2 linked regions of the Saccharomyces cerevisiae S288C genome follow. The protein of the gene in region 1 binds, or shares a complex with, the protein of each later gene. Each region holds a gene or a part of one and is shown in the gene's direction. Other genes may lie near its edges. The genes, in order: COX6 and COX9.

Region 1 (6,320 bases):
AGTAGCAGCTAAATCTGAAACTCTCTAGCTTGTAATAAACGAAGGATGACTGTACAAATTCCAAAATTATTATTTTTACACGGCTTCTTGCAAAACGGTAAAGTTTTCTCCGAAAAATCATCTGGTATTAGAAAATTATTGAAGAAGGCTAATGTCCAATGTGACTATATTGATGCACCAGTCCTTTTAGAAAAGAAGGACTTGCCATTTGAAATGGATGATGAAAAATGGCAAGCCACCCTAGATGCGGATGTTAACAGAGCCTGGTTCTATCACAGCGAAATCTCTCACGAATTGGATATCTCAGAAGGTTTGAAGTCTGTTGTTGATCACATCAAGGCCAATGGCCCATACGACGGCATTGTCGGTTTCTCTCAAGGTGCCGCATTGTCCTCTATCATCACCAACAAGATCTCAGAGTTAGTTCCAGACCATCCACAATTCAAGGTAAGTGTAGTCATTTCCGGCTATTCCTTCACCGAGCCAGACCCAGAACATCCTGGAGAATTGAGAATAACCGAAAAATTCAGAGACTCATTTGCGGTAAAACCAGACATGAAGACCAAGATGATCTTCATCTATGGTGCTTCTGACCAAGCCGTCCCATCCGTCAGATCCAAGTACCTGTACGATATTTATTTGAAGGCGCAAAATGGTAATAAGGAAAAGGTGTTGGCTTACGAACACCCTGGTGGACATATGGTTCCAAACAAGAAGGACATTATCAGACCAATTGTTGAACAAATAACCTCTTCCTTACAAGAAGCTTCTGAATAAATCGTAGGTTGTTGCTTACCTGCTTTCTAGCTTTTTACTATCACACGCAGGGTGTGTGGAGTGAAATGCTGATCGAGTATGTATATATACATATAAGTACTTTGTATAGAATGAACCACAAGTTTGTAGCATCCTTTCTCTTCTCTTCCATCCTGCGTGCTGCTAACCCCGCCCGGCGCGAAAAATCCACCCGGGGTGCTTTAGCGTGGCTTACGAAGACCTTTTTAAACATACTTATACTCTTTCTCGAAGGAAGAAAATAATGCAGAAGAGAAACAGCAGAAAAAAAAGAAATCATATTAAATTTCAGAATCAGTCTCCTTTTGCTTCTAGTCATTTAACCATCAAACGCGTTTAACCGTTTAGAAAACCCTCTTCAACAACTATTTGTTTTGATACTAATATTAGCACATCTCTATTGCCATTTAACCACTAATTTTCCGTATAGCGTTTATGTTTGATGACGTCCCAAGAATATGAACCTATTCAATGGAGCGATGAATCCCAAACAAATAATGATAGTGTCAACGATGCGTATGCCGACGTGAATACCACTCATGAGTCGCGTCGAAGAACAACTTTGCAGCCAAACTCAACATCCCAGAGCATGATCGGAACATTGAGAAAATATGCTAGGTTCATCGGTCCTGGTTTGATGGTATCTGTATCGTACATGGATCCTGGTAACTATAGTACAGCTGTAGCAGCGGGTTCTGCTCATCGGTACAAGCTTTTATTTTCTGTCTTAGTTTCTAATTTCATGGCTGCTTTTTGGCAGTACCTCTGCGCCAGATTGGGTGCTGTCACTGGCCTAGATCTGGCACAAAATTGTAAGAAACATTTGCCCTTTGGACTTAACATTACTCTTTATATTCTGGCGGAGATGGCAATTATTGCCACAGATCTGGCAGAAGTGGTAGGAACCGCTATTTCTTTGAATATCCTTTTCCATATACCTCTCGCCCTAGGTGTGATACTTACTGTGGTAGACGTTTTAATTGTTCTGCTAGCTTACAAACCTAACGGTTCCATGAAGGGTATCAGAATATTTGAAGCTTTTGTTTCTTTATTGGTGGTTCTTACCGTAGTTTGCTTTACTGTTGAACTGTTTTATGCCAAACTGGGACCTGCCAAAGAAATATTTTCTGGGTTCTTACCCAGTAAAGCCGTTTTTGAAGGTGATGGGTTATACTTAAGTCTGGCAATTCTGGGCGCCACGGTAATGCCTCATTCATTATATTTGGGGTCAGGTGTGGTTCAACCAAGATTAAGAGAGTATGATATCAAAAACGGACATTACTTGCCAGACGCGAATGATATGGATAACAATCACGATAATTACAGGCCATCCTATGAGGCCATCAGTGAAACTCTGCACTTTACTATAACGGAATTACTGATCTCGCTGTTCACGGTGGCATTATTTGTCAATTGTGCCATTCTTATCGTGTCTGGCGCTACACTATACGGGTCCACTCAAAATGCTGAGGAAGCTGACTTATTTTCTATTTACAACTTACTCTGTAGTACTCTTTCCAAGGGAGCGGGAACGGTATTCGTGCTGGCATTGTTGTTTTCAGGACAGAGTGCCGGTATCGTGTGTACGTTGAGTGGACAAATGGTTAGTGAAGGGTTCTTAAATTGGACTGTTTCTCCGGCATTGAGAAGATCCGCCACAAGAGCGGTAGCCATCACGCCTTGTTTGATTTTAGTGCTTGTAGCTGGACGTAGCGGCCTCTCTGGTGCACTAAATGCTTCCCAAGTGGTACTTTCTCTCTTGCTGCCTTTTGTTTCTGCACCTTTACTTTACTTCACTTCAAGCAAGAAGATTATGCGTGTACAGCTTAACCGTACCAAAGAACTTTCAAGAACTACAGACAAAAAACCCGTGGCCGACCGAACCGAAGATGATGAGACCATTGAGCTCGAAGAAATGGGCATAGGCAGCAGCTCACAGGAGCGCAGCTTAGTTTCTCCTGCTCCAGAATACAAAGACATGAGCAATGGAATGATCGTCACCGTGCTCGCAATCATAGTATGGTTGATTATCTCCGGACTGAACTTTTATATGTTACTGGGCTTTACTACGGGCAAAGAAGTACACCTCTAATATAACAATTCTTTAGACTAGTATAAGTATACATTTTATCCAAGAATAATAACAGAAAATTCCAATCAAAAAGTTGGTGTTAGGCTATACTGATGGCCGTATCGCTCCATACGAGCCAATCAGGGCCCCGCGCGTTATTTCCGCCGCTTACAGCTTTCTTTGAATCTCCCTATGAAAAGGGACCTAATTGGTCCGGTCAAAGCATTAATAAAGATCAACAATTGCTCTTGCTTATCAAGGTGCCAGATCTCAAGGTTACCTCATTTCTTTACATTTCATCCACATTTTAGCACACTTATTTATTATTACAATTTGAAAAATTGTATCACTTCTGAGACTTAGTAGCGGAGATAAACAGCCGAACAATTGTATTTGACACATAAACTAATAAATATACAACAATGTTATCAAGGGCCATATTCAGAAATCCAGTTATAAATAGAACTTTATTGAGAGCCAGACCTGGTGCTTATCATGCAACTAGATTGACTAAAAATACGTTTATTCAAAGTAGGAAGTATTCTGACGCACATGATGAAGAAACCTTTGAGGAATTCACCGCAAGATACGAAAAGGAGTTTGATGAAGCCTATGATTTGTTTGAAGTGCAAAGAGTGCTCAACAACTGTTTTTCCTATGATTTAGTTCCTGCTCCTGCTGTTATTGAAAAAGCTTTGAGGGCTGCCAGAAGAGTCAATGACTTACCTACCGCAATTAGAGTATTTGAGGCTTTGAAATACAAGGTGGAGAATGAAGACCAATACAAGGCCTACTTGGATGAATTGAAGGATGTCAGACAAGAATTGGGCGTTCCCTTAAAGGAAGAGCTATTTCCAAGCTCTTCTTAATAATAAGGAAAAAGCTACCACACAACGTCTGTAATTTGTTGTCCTTTTTTTATTTGTGGAAAATTCCTCAATTTGAAATAAGATTCGTATTTATTTTGTAAAACGATTTTAGTTTTTATTTTTTTTTTTTCTTCCCTTTTACCTTATTATTTGTTTTACCCTTTATGGATATTCATCCACTCAGAAACTAATATATCAAAATCAACGATAAGATCACAAGAGGTGAAATAAGAAAAGTAAAAGAAAAATATTTAAATTTAACCATTATGATTTCCACTTTGTTTTCTCTACTCTATTACTTGAACAAACTTTATTTTTGGTAATGAGGGCTGGTCACAGATTACCTTTAATATCCTTTGTTAGTAGCTTTTTTGTGTTCTATTTCAGGAAAGAAGAATGGGAAAAATAATAAAACAATAAATAACTATATAAAAAACAAAAACCTAGAATATACCATTAAAGAATTACTATTCTATTCTGTGCTTCACCGTTGCGTCAATAAATGTGAAGTTGATGTCACTTCATACTAAAAAAATTAAAGACAATTTCCTGAAAAAAATTTTTCCACTGGAGCTCATCGCAAATTTTGAAAAGTAACAAAAAGCGTTTGTATACTGCATAAAGAATAGTGTCTGTTTTATAAGAAATATTAGACAGCAGGCAGATAAACCTACGTTCCAGACTATAAAGTATAAAATGGCTAAAAAGAGTAACTCAAAGAAATCTACGCCTGTAAGTACACCAAGCAAAGAAAAGAAGAAGGTTATTGAAAAGAAATCTTCCACAGCCATTCCTAGGGAAAGAGTTATTAAAGCTGTCAACGAGCTTATAAAATTCACTTCCAAGCCACAAGATGAAAATAATGAAGAAGGAAATAACGGTAAGAAAAACCTATTGGAAGATGATGAAGAAGAATTGAAGAAAGATCTGCAATTAATCGTAGTAAATAATAAATCATTCACCGGTACTTCCAAATCATTCAAATTGAAATTACTAAATGTCAAACATTCGTTTTACAAGCCTTGGAAAGAAGCCAGTGCAACAGCGGTTAAGGATTTCAAAGTTTTATTAATTTTGAAGGATTCTGATATTAAGAAAGTTTCAGAAGATGATTTATTTGATCAATTAGATTCAGAAGGAATCAAGGTTGATGAAATCATTTGCGGGAAAGACTTAAAGACCGTTTACAAGGCATATGAGGCTAGAAACGCTTTTATATCTCAGTTTTCTTTGATTTTGGCTGACGACAGTATAGTTACATCTTTGCCAAAACTTATGGGAGGCAAAGCCTACAACAAAGTAGAAACTACTCCTATATCAATTAGAACACATGCAAATAAGGAATTTTCCTTGACCACTTTGACGAACAATATCAAAAAGGTTTACATGAATCAGTTGCCCGTTAAACTTCCAAGAGGTACCACGTTGAATGTCCATTTGGGTAATTTAGAATGGTTAAGGCCAGAAGAGTTTGTAGATAACGTTGAATTAATTTCTGAACAGTTAATCAAAGCATACCAAATCAGATCCATTTTTATCAAGACCAATAGGTCGCCCGTATTGCCATTATACTATAACCAGGACGTTCTTGATGAACTTGAAGCTAAAAAGGACAAAATCGAAGAAACCCACGAAGATGACATGGTCACCATTGATGGTGTACAAGTTCATTTGTCTACCTTCAACAAGGGTTTGATGGAAATCGCCAATCCTTCCGAATTGGGTTCAATTTTCTCTAAACAAATTAACAATGCAAAAAAGAGATCTTCTAGCGAGCTTGAAAAAGAATCTAGCGAGTCAGAAGCTGTCAAGAAGGCTAAAAGTTAATTTGTTTCCTCCTTATCTATCTTTTCTCTCATTTTTTTCTTGTGAAGAAAAAAATTTGAATTTCATAGAGTGCGGTGCATATGTATATATCTATATATGTTTGAAGTGTATATTAAAAATAAAGTCATTATTTGAATATTGGTTTCTCGGTCTAAGAGCTTATACGTTTTAGACTGATCTGTTGTACTATCCGCTTCAAATAAATAGATCATTGAAAGTGACGGGGATAACAGCATTTTACCTTTAAAAGACGTTCTCATAATACATTTTAGGATTAATACATATGCTTTTTTTTTATTCGAAATCTGGGGATTCTATACAGAGTTGTAAGTTAGGCAAACTAGAATTTGGTAATAATATTTTATTCTTGGGGCGACATATGGAGATACTTTATTTCCTTTTCTTAATTATTAACGTATACCTATAAATTAACAAAGTATCTAAACAAAATACATAAGTGTACTCAAACTGAGTAGAATCGTCGATTAAACTTCCTTCTCCTTTTAAAAATTAAAAACAGCAAATAGTTAGATGAATATATTAAAGACTATTCGTTTCATTTCCCAGAGCAGCATGACTTCTTGGTTTCTTCAGACTTGTTACCGCAGGGGCATTTGTCGTCGCTGTTACACCCCGTTGGGCAGCTACATGATTTTTGGCATTGTTCATTATTTTTGCAGCTACCACATTGGCATTGGCACTCATGACCTTCATTTTGGAAGTTAATTAATTCGCTGAACATTTTATGTGATGATTGA
Region 2 (6,137 bases), on another chromosome or scaffold:
CCGAATCATTTGAATTTATTGATCATGTTTCCAACAATGAACTTCTATCACAGTTCTTAAATGGGCTATCTCCGGCTTTACATCCACAAGCTAATGAATTAACAAAAGTTCTAATTGAAGGTATCCATTGCCAATTCCTTGACATGAAAATAACTTATGATCAATGTAACAAAATGATCCACTCTGTATGTCATTCCATTAATAACATTGATCCAGTACAGTTAGTTAATGACATTAATAACCCTGTAGAAATTGGACCTGCTACTAGTAAAGATGAAAGCAGTAAGGTTATAACTAAGATCAAGGATTACAATGCGAAACGTAACGAATCCATGATAAAATTGCAAAGCATTGAAATAGCAATTGATCTTATCACCGCAATCATTGAGATAGTTGCATCCAAATATGAATCACCAGAATCACAGGAAGTAGCAATTCCAGAGGAGCTAATCAATACCTTAACAAATTTCTTACCTCACGTTTTCATGATTTTGAAAGATACCTTCACCTCGCGAATATTGATCGGATGGAACAATCTGATCTGGCTCTTTGTGTCTCTATCTCTAACAGAGCTCTCTGGAGAGTTGTTAACCACCTTATGGAGTTATGTTACACAGTTGGACAGCCAAGATGATTTGAGTATTAAAATAGGAAGAATGGGCTGTATTTGGGCGCTTCTGAAACTCATCTTTCCTGATGGAGCGTTTGAAAGTGAGAATCGAGCATTGATCAATGTCCAAATGCTGAACAATTCAGGATTCGCTAGGGGAATTATTGAAGAGTTCCAAAATAATAATGACCTTGAGTTACAACAAAAATGTATTAATGTACTAAGCACATATGCTATGATTCAGGGACAAATTGATGCAAATAAGGAGATTGGGCAGTTCTTCATACAAACTTTAACACAGTTGAATGTTCGCCCTGAAATTTTGATAGAAATGACAAATTCGCTTTTCCAAATTTACGGGGATGCCTCTTACGACTATAATGAACCAATATTTGTAAGGGGTGGATTTTTATCTATTCTAAAAGACCAAGTTGTACCAAATTTGAGGCAGCAATTCAAAATGGTTGATAAAAACAAAAATCCCGAACTAAAAGAAAGATGCCATGATTGCTTTACTACGTTGGATAGTTTCATTCACTACAAAATGAATGAAAATTCTACTAACCAATAGATTTATTAAAGTGTATATAGTTGCCATACTTATAGAAAATGGTACAAAAAATATCTTTCTATTTACTTAGCATAAGAAACAAAGAGCAAAAAATTATTTTTGAGAATTTGTAAATAATGTTATTTTGCTCTATTTTTGTTACACAACGACATTAGTTAAATAAAGTACAAAAGGAGGAAGAATGGGAAAGATGGATTCCCTCTATTTAGAGTACTGTTTAGCTTGAAGCAAAACTTTCTTGTCATATTCCGCCTTATTTCTTGAAAATGATCTCCATGCAGGCTCTTGAGCAGGGGAATTTGGATTTGGAGAGTCTAAAAGATCCTGAACCCCAAGAACAATTTGTTTTAACGTGATGGCGGGTCTCCAATCTTGATCTTCATTTAAAATACTTAAACATATTGTGCCACTTGGATACACGTTTGGATGATAAAATCCGGCTGGAAATTTAACCTTTGGAGGTTTTGAAGGATATTCATTTGGATATTCGACTGTAATTGGGTACACACCACCCGCCCAGTTTGTACCTTCTTTGCCTGGGATACCAGCTTCCCATTTCTGTAAATCCATGGACCCATCAGCTTTCTTAACTGGTTTGGCATAAAATCCAAATGGATGATCCTTTCTCCATTTTTTTCTGTTATTCAAGTAAAACAAGTTAAGTTCATCGATTTGTTAGTATACCGCTGGATGAAATTGTGTATGCCTACAGAATGTAAGCATAAAAGGAGGAAAACTACTACTTACCTTTCTTCCTGAAGACGCTGTAGACACAAACTACTCATATTGCTTCCAAAAAATGGTGCCAGTGTGTGCTTATCCTATGCTAAATTTCTCTTCTTTTTTTAAATGTTTGTTATGGAGACAGGAATAATTTTTAATTTCCAGATGTTAAACGCGGTTTCTGAGAGATATAAAGTGAAGAAAGAATTACAAATTGTGGGAACCGAAGTATTGACGGAAAGAAGAAATGCCAAACATACAACACGAAGTAATGAATGAAAACGAGTACGATAATTTTGATGATTTGGATGACCTTTTAGATGAAGATCCCACTAAACTGGATGAAGCAGAGCCCGATGATGTGCAAGCGAAGGGTTCTGTGTACAACGATAGTGAAAACAAAGAGAAGAATGCCGAAAGTAAGGACAGTGATGGCGTACAGGTAGCTAATGAATCTGAAGAGGACCCAGAATTGAAAGAAATGATGGTAGATTTGCAAAATGAGTTCGCAAATTTGATGAAAAATAACGGTAACGAGAATAATGTGAAGACAGAAGATTTTAATAAACTGATTAGTGCTCTAGAAGAGGCAGCTAAAGTACCTCATCAACAGATGGAGCAAGGATGTAGTAGTTTGAAAAGTAACAGCACTGATAAAGGGACCGTGAATGGTAGCAATCCGGGATTTAAAAACATTGTTTCCAATACGCTAGACAGGTTAAAGGAAAATGGTAATAAAGTTGATACATCCCTAGCCGAAGAAACCAAGGAATCTCAACGCAGTGGCCAAAATAATAATATTGATGATATATTGTCACAATTATTAGATCAAATGGTAGCATCTGGTGGAAAAGAAAGTGCAGAAAATCAATTTGATCTAAAAGATGGGGAGATGGACGACGCAATAACAAAAATACTTGATCAAATGACGTCAAAAGAAGTATTATATGAGCCTATGAAAGAAATGCGTAGTGAGTTCGGTGTTTGGTTTCAAGAAAACGGTGAAAATGAAGAGCATAAGGAAAAGATAGGCACCTACAAGAGGCAATTTAATATCGTAGACGAAATTGTAAATATTTATGAATTGAAAGATTATGACGAGCTAAAGCATAAAGATCGTGTTACTGAACTTTTGGACGAATTAGAACAGCTTGGTGATAGCCCTATTAGAAGTGCGAACAGCCCCCTAAAACACGGTAATGAAGAAGAAGAACTCATGAAAATGTTGGAAATTGATGGTAATGATCCGAACTTGGGGAACCTTGATAAGGAATTAACCGACGGTTGCAAACAACAATAAGGTATATATATTTATGATAACAGTAAAAAAAAAAAAAAAAAAGTAGTTCATTATCCTAGAGCATAACTAAGTATAACACTTTAAAAAATGAAAAAAAAAAGTGGTAGATTGGGCTACGTAAATTCGATTACTCGATCGACTTGATTTCTTTTTGTAGTCTTTTTTCAACGGCATCCAAAAATTCTTCTGTGGTAACATAAGCAGATCTTTCGTTGTTACCGCAAGCCAAAGCCAAGTCCTTCGTCATGATACCGTCTTGCTGAACTGTGTTCAAAGTGGCGGATTCCAAAATATTGGCAAATTTACACAAAGCAGGAGTATTGTCCAATTCACCTCTCTTCAATAGACCTCTCGACCACGCGAAAATGGATGCAATGGAGTTTGTAGAAGTTTCTTCACCCTTTTGGTACTTTCTATAATGTCTTGTCACGGTACCATGAGCAGCTTCACTTTCGAAAGTTTTACCGTCTGGTGTAACTAAGATAGAAGTCATCAAACCTAAGGAGCCAAATCCTTGAGCGACGATGTCAGATTGGACATCACCGTCATAGTTCTTTAGCGCCATGATAAAGCCACCTTTAGATTTTATCATTTGAGCGACCATATCATCAATTAAACGGTGTTCATAGTGGATCCCTAGTTGTTCGAATTTGGATTTATATTGAGCTTCATAAACTTCTTGGAAAATGTCTTTGAACCGACCGTCATATTTCTTCAAAATAGTGTTCTTGGTTGACAAGAAAAGATTTAGCTTTTTGTCAATGGCCAGCTTGAAAGACGAATGAGCAAACCCTTCGATGGATTCGTCAGTATTGTACATGGCCATGGCCACACCACTGCCCTTGTAGTCATACACTTTCAAAGTTTGTGGTTGAGCAGTCGTAGGGTCGGATGGCTTGTAGACCAGTTCCAAAGATCCTGGGCCTGGGATCAGTGTGTCCGTAGCTTTATATTGATCACCGTGGGCGTGTCTTCCAATAATGATTGGTTTTTCCCAACGTGGGACCAGTCTAGGAATTCTAGGAATCACAATGGGCTCTCTGAACACTGTACCGCCGAGAATGTTTCTGATGGTACCATTAGGAGATTTCCACATCTTGTGCAGGTTGAATTCCTTCACACGAGCTTCATCAGGAGTGATGGTGGCACATTTGATACCAACACCATACTTCTTGATCGCCTCAGCAGCATCCTGAGTAATCTTGTCGGAGGTGGCGTCACGAGATTCGACAGATAAGTCGTAGTACTTCAAATCTACGTCCAAGTAGGGTAGAATCAATTTCTTCTTGATCTTATCCCAAATGATACGGGTCATTTCATCACCGTCCAACTCGACAACGGGTTGTTTGACCTTAATCTTACTGAAAGCAGCAAGGCGAGAGGTGGAAAATAATCTTCTAGATAACATACTCATGCTGGGCGATCTTCCTTGTGCGTCTGTTGTCTCACAATTGCTTGAAGGAAGATTTCATAAGATCATATGAGTCCCTCTTTATATGGGCAAGTGGAATTATGTGAGTCAAAATCCGCGCGTGACCCGTAAAGCGTTATCAGAAGGTGCAAACGGTGCTATTTAGCTCATAAAAGGAATGATTCAAGCTCTTTTGGATTGTAAGACACCTTTATTTAGTCCAAGATCATTGCAGACCCTTGTTATGGTCTTTAGCAGAGTCCTCCTCTATATCTCTTCATTTACTGCAACCTGATTGGCCCGCTACCACGATGCCCGCTTTGTTCCTGTGGTATTAAAAGAATCGATGAAAGAGACTCTTATCTTCAGGGAAAATTAGGACCGAGAATTAGAGCAAGCAAGATATTTGCAAACTACTAACTACAAGCGACTTACACAGACATGACTATTGCTCCAATTACTGGTACGATCAAGAGAAGAGTCATCATGGACATCGTCCTCGGGTTCTCCCTCGGGGGTGTCATGGCCTCTTACTGGTGGTGGGGATTCCACATGGATAAGATTAACAAGAGAGAGAAGTTCTACGCAGAGCTAGCTGAGAGGAAAAAGCAAGAGAACTGACCGAACCTGACCACTATTGTTTTTCGCATTATATTCTTATTCCTATTTATTTATCTTTTATTTTTTTTCTGTGCTGGCCTCGATTGATTACTTTTGCAAGAGTTTGTAGGGAAGGAAAACAGACAAGTCATTCTTTTCTTTCTTTTTGACCTTTATCATAATTTTCTATTTGTATAATTTGAAAAAATAGTTTTACATATTTATGTAGTGTCAAACTAAAATAAAAACAAACTTAAAAAAAGAGTTATAGAAAATGTATGTGGAGAATAAGACAGGCAGACCTTGAGTGAACTAGGAATAGTACAATATTACCTTTAGGAGGTGCCACGTACTACCCCTTTGCTTCTATTCTTCTATGGTTTCTTTATAGCAGGATAAAAGAATAAATCAGATAATGAATCTCGACATGTTGAGGACAAAAGTGTTTGCAACTACTGTTGCTCGAATATCTGGGATTCGCAGGTATATTCCCATCAGAACTATAAACACGGTGACGAAAAAGAATATTAGTAAGATAGAAAAACTGTGTGAAGTCCTTGAAGTTAATCCTGACGGATATAAAGGAAAGGAACGCATACCGACTAAAGAACTAACTAAACTGCTATATACCACAAGCAGGAATATGTTGGTACGAGTACCAATGACTGGAGACTTGAGCACAGGAAATACATTTGAAACAAGAAACGAAACTTTACAAAAATTGGGTGAACAGCTCATTCACTTGGAAATTAATAAGATGCTTACAATAACATTTACGAATTTCAATCAGTTTAATATAATGAACAAAAACTTCAATTACATTCATAACTTAGATCGAGCTCGAGTAGTGAACATGGACTCGATAAGCTGGCTTATCAAGAATTCGTTGAAAATTAACCAATTAGCTCATTTGCGAATACCT

Evidence for each region.
Region 2: the proteins of COX6 (region 1) and COX9 are in contact, whole or in part, in a cryo-EM structure (PDB 7Z10), measured with the Saccharomyces cerevisiae proteins. Residues at the interface, in NP_011918.1 of Saccharomyces cerevisiae: Phe49 (codon at 3,433), Asp80 (codon at 3,526), Leu81 (codon at 3,529), Val82 (codon at 3,532), Pro85 (codon at 3,541), Glu116 (codon at 3,634), Gln120 (codon at 3,646), Ala123 (codon at 3,655), Tyr124 (codon at 3,658), Glu127 (codon at 3,667); in NP_010216.1 of Saccharomyces cerevisiae: Thr2 (codon at 5,060), Ile3 (codon at 5,063), Pro5 (codon at 5,069), Ile6 (codon at 5,072), Thr7 (codon at 5,075), Gly8 (codon at 5,078), Thr9 (codon at 5,081), Ile10 (codon at 5,084), Lys11 (codon at 5,087).

What each region holds. Positions count from the first base shown.
Region 1 is NC_001140.6:206,417-212,736, forward strand, and holds COX6 (cytochrome c oxidase subunit VI), read left to right. Parts: upstream 1-3,288; coding exon 3,289-3,735; downstream 3,736-6,320. Other genes in the region: FSH1 (putative serine hydrolase), read left to right, coding at 46-777; divalent metal ion transporter SMF2, read left to right, coding at 1,238-2,887; YHR050W-A (uncharacterized protein), read left to right, coding at 3,059-3,229; CIC1 (Cic1p), read left to right, coding at 4,432-5,562; YHR052C-B (uncharacterized protein), read right to left, coding at 6,103-6,276; metallothionein CUP1-1, read right to left, coding at 6,119-6,304. UniProt on the Saccharomyces cerevisiae protein: Component of the cytochrome c oxidase, the last enzyme in the mitochondrial electron transport chain which drives oxidative phosphorylation.
Region 2 is NC_001136.10:333,316-339,452, reverse strand, and holds COX9 (cytochrome c oxidase subunit VIIa), read left to right. Parts: upstream 1-5,056; coding exon 5,057-5,236; downstream 5,237-6,137. Other genes in the region: SYO1 (Syo1p), read left to right, coding at 1-1,181; E2 SUMO-conjugating protein UBC9, read right to left, coding at 1,383-1,818, 1,929-1,966; PEX19 (Pex19p), read left to right, coding at 2,176-3,204; isocitrate dehydrogenase (NADP(+)) IDP1, read right to left, coding at 3,332-4,618; CBS1 (Cbs1p), read left to right, coding at 5,643-6,137. UniProt on the Saccharomyces cerevisiae protein: Component of the cytochrome c oxidase, the last enzyme in the mitochondrial electron transport chain which drives oxidative phosphorylation.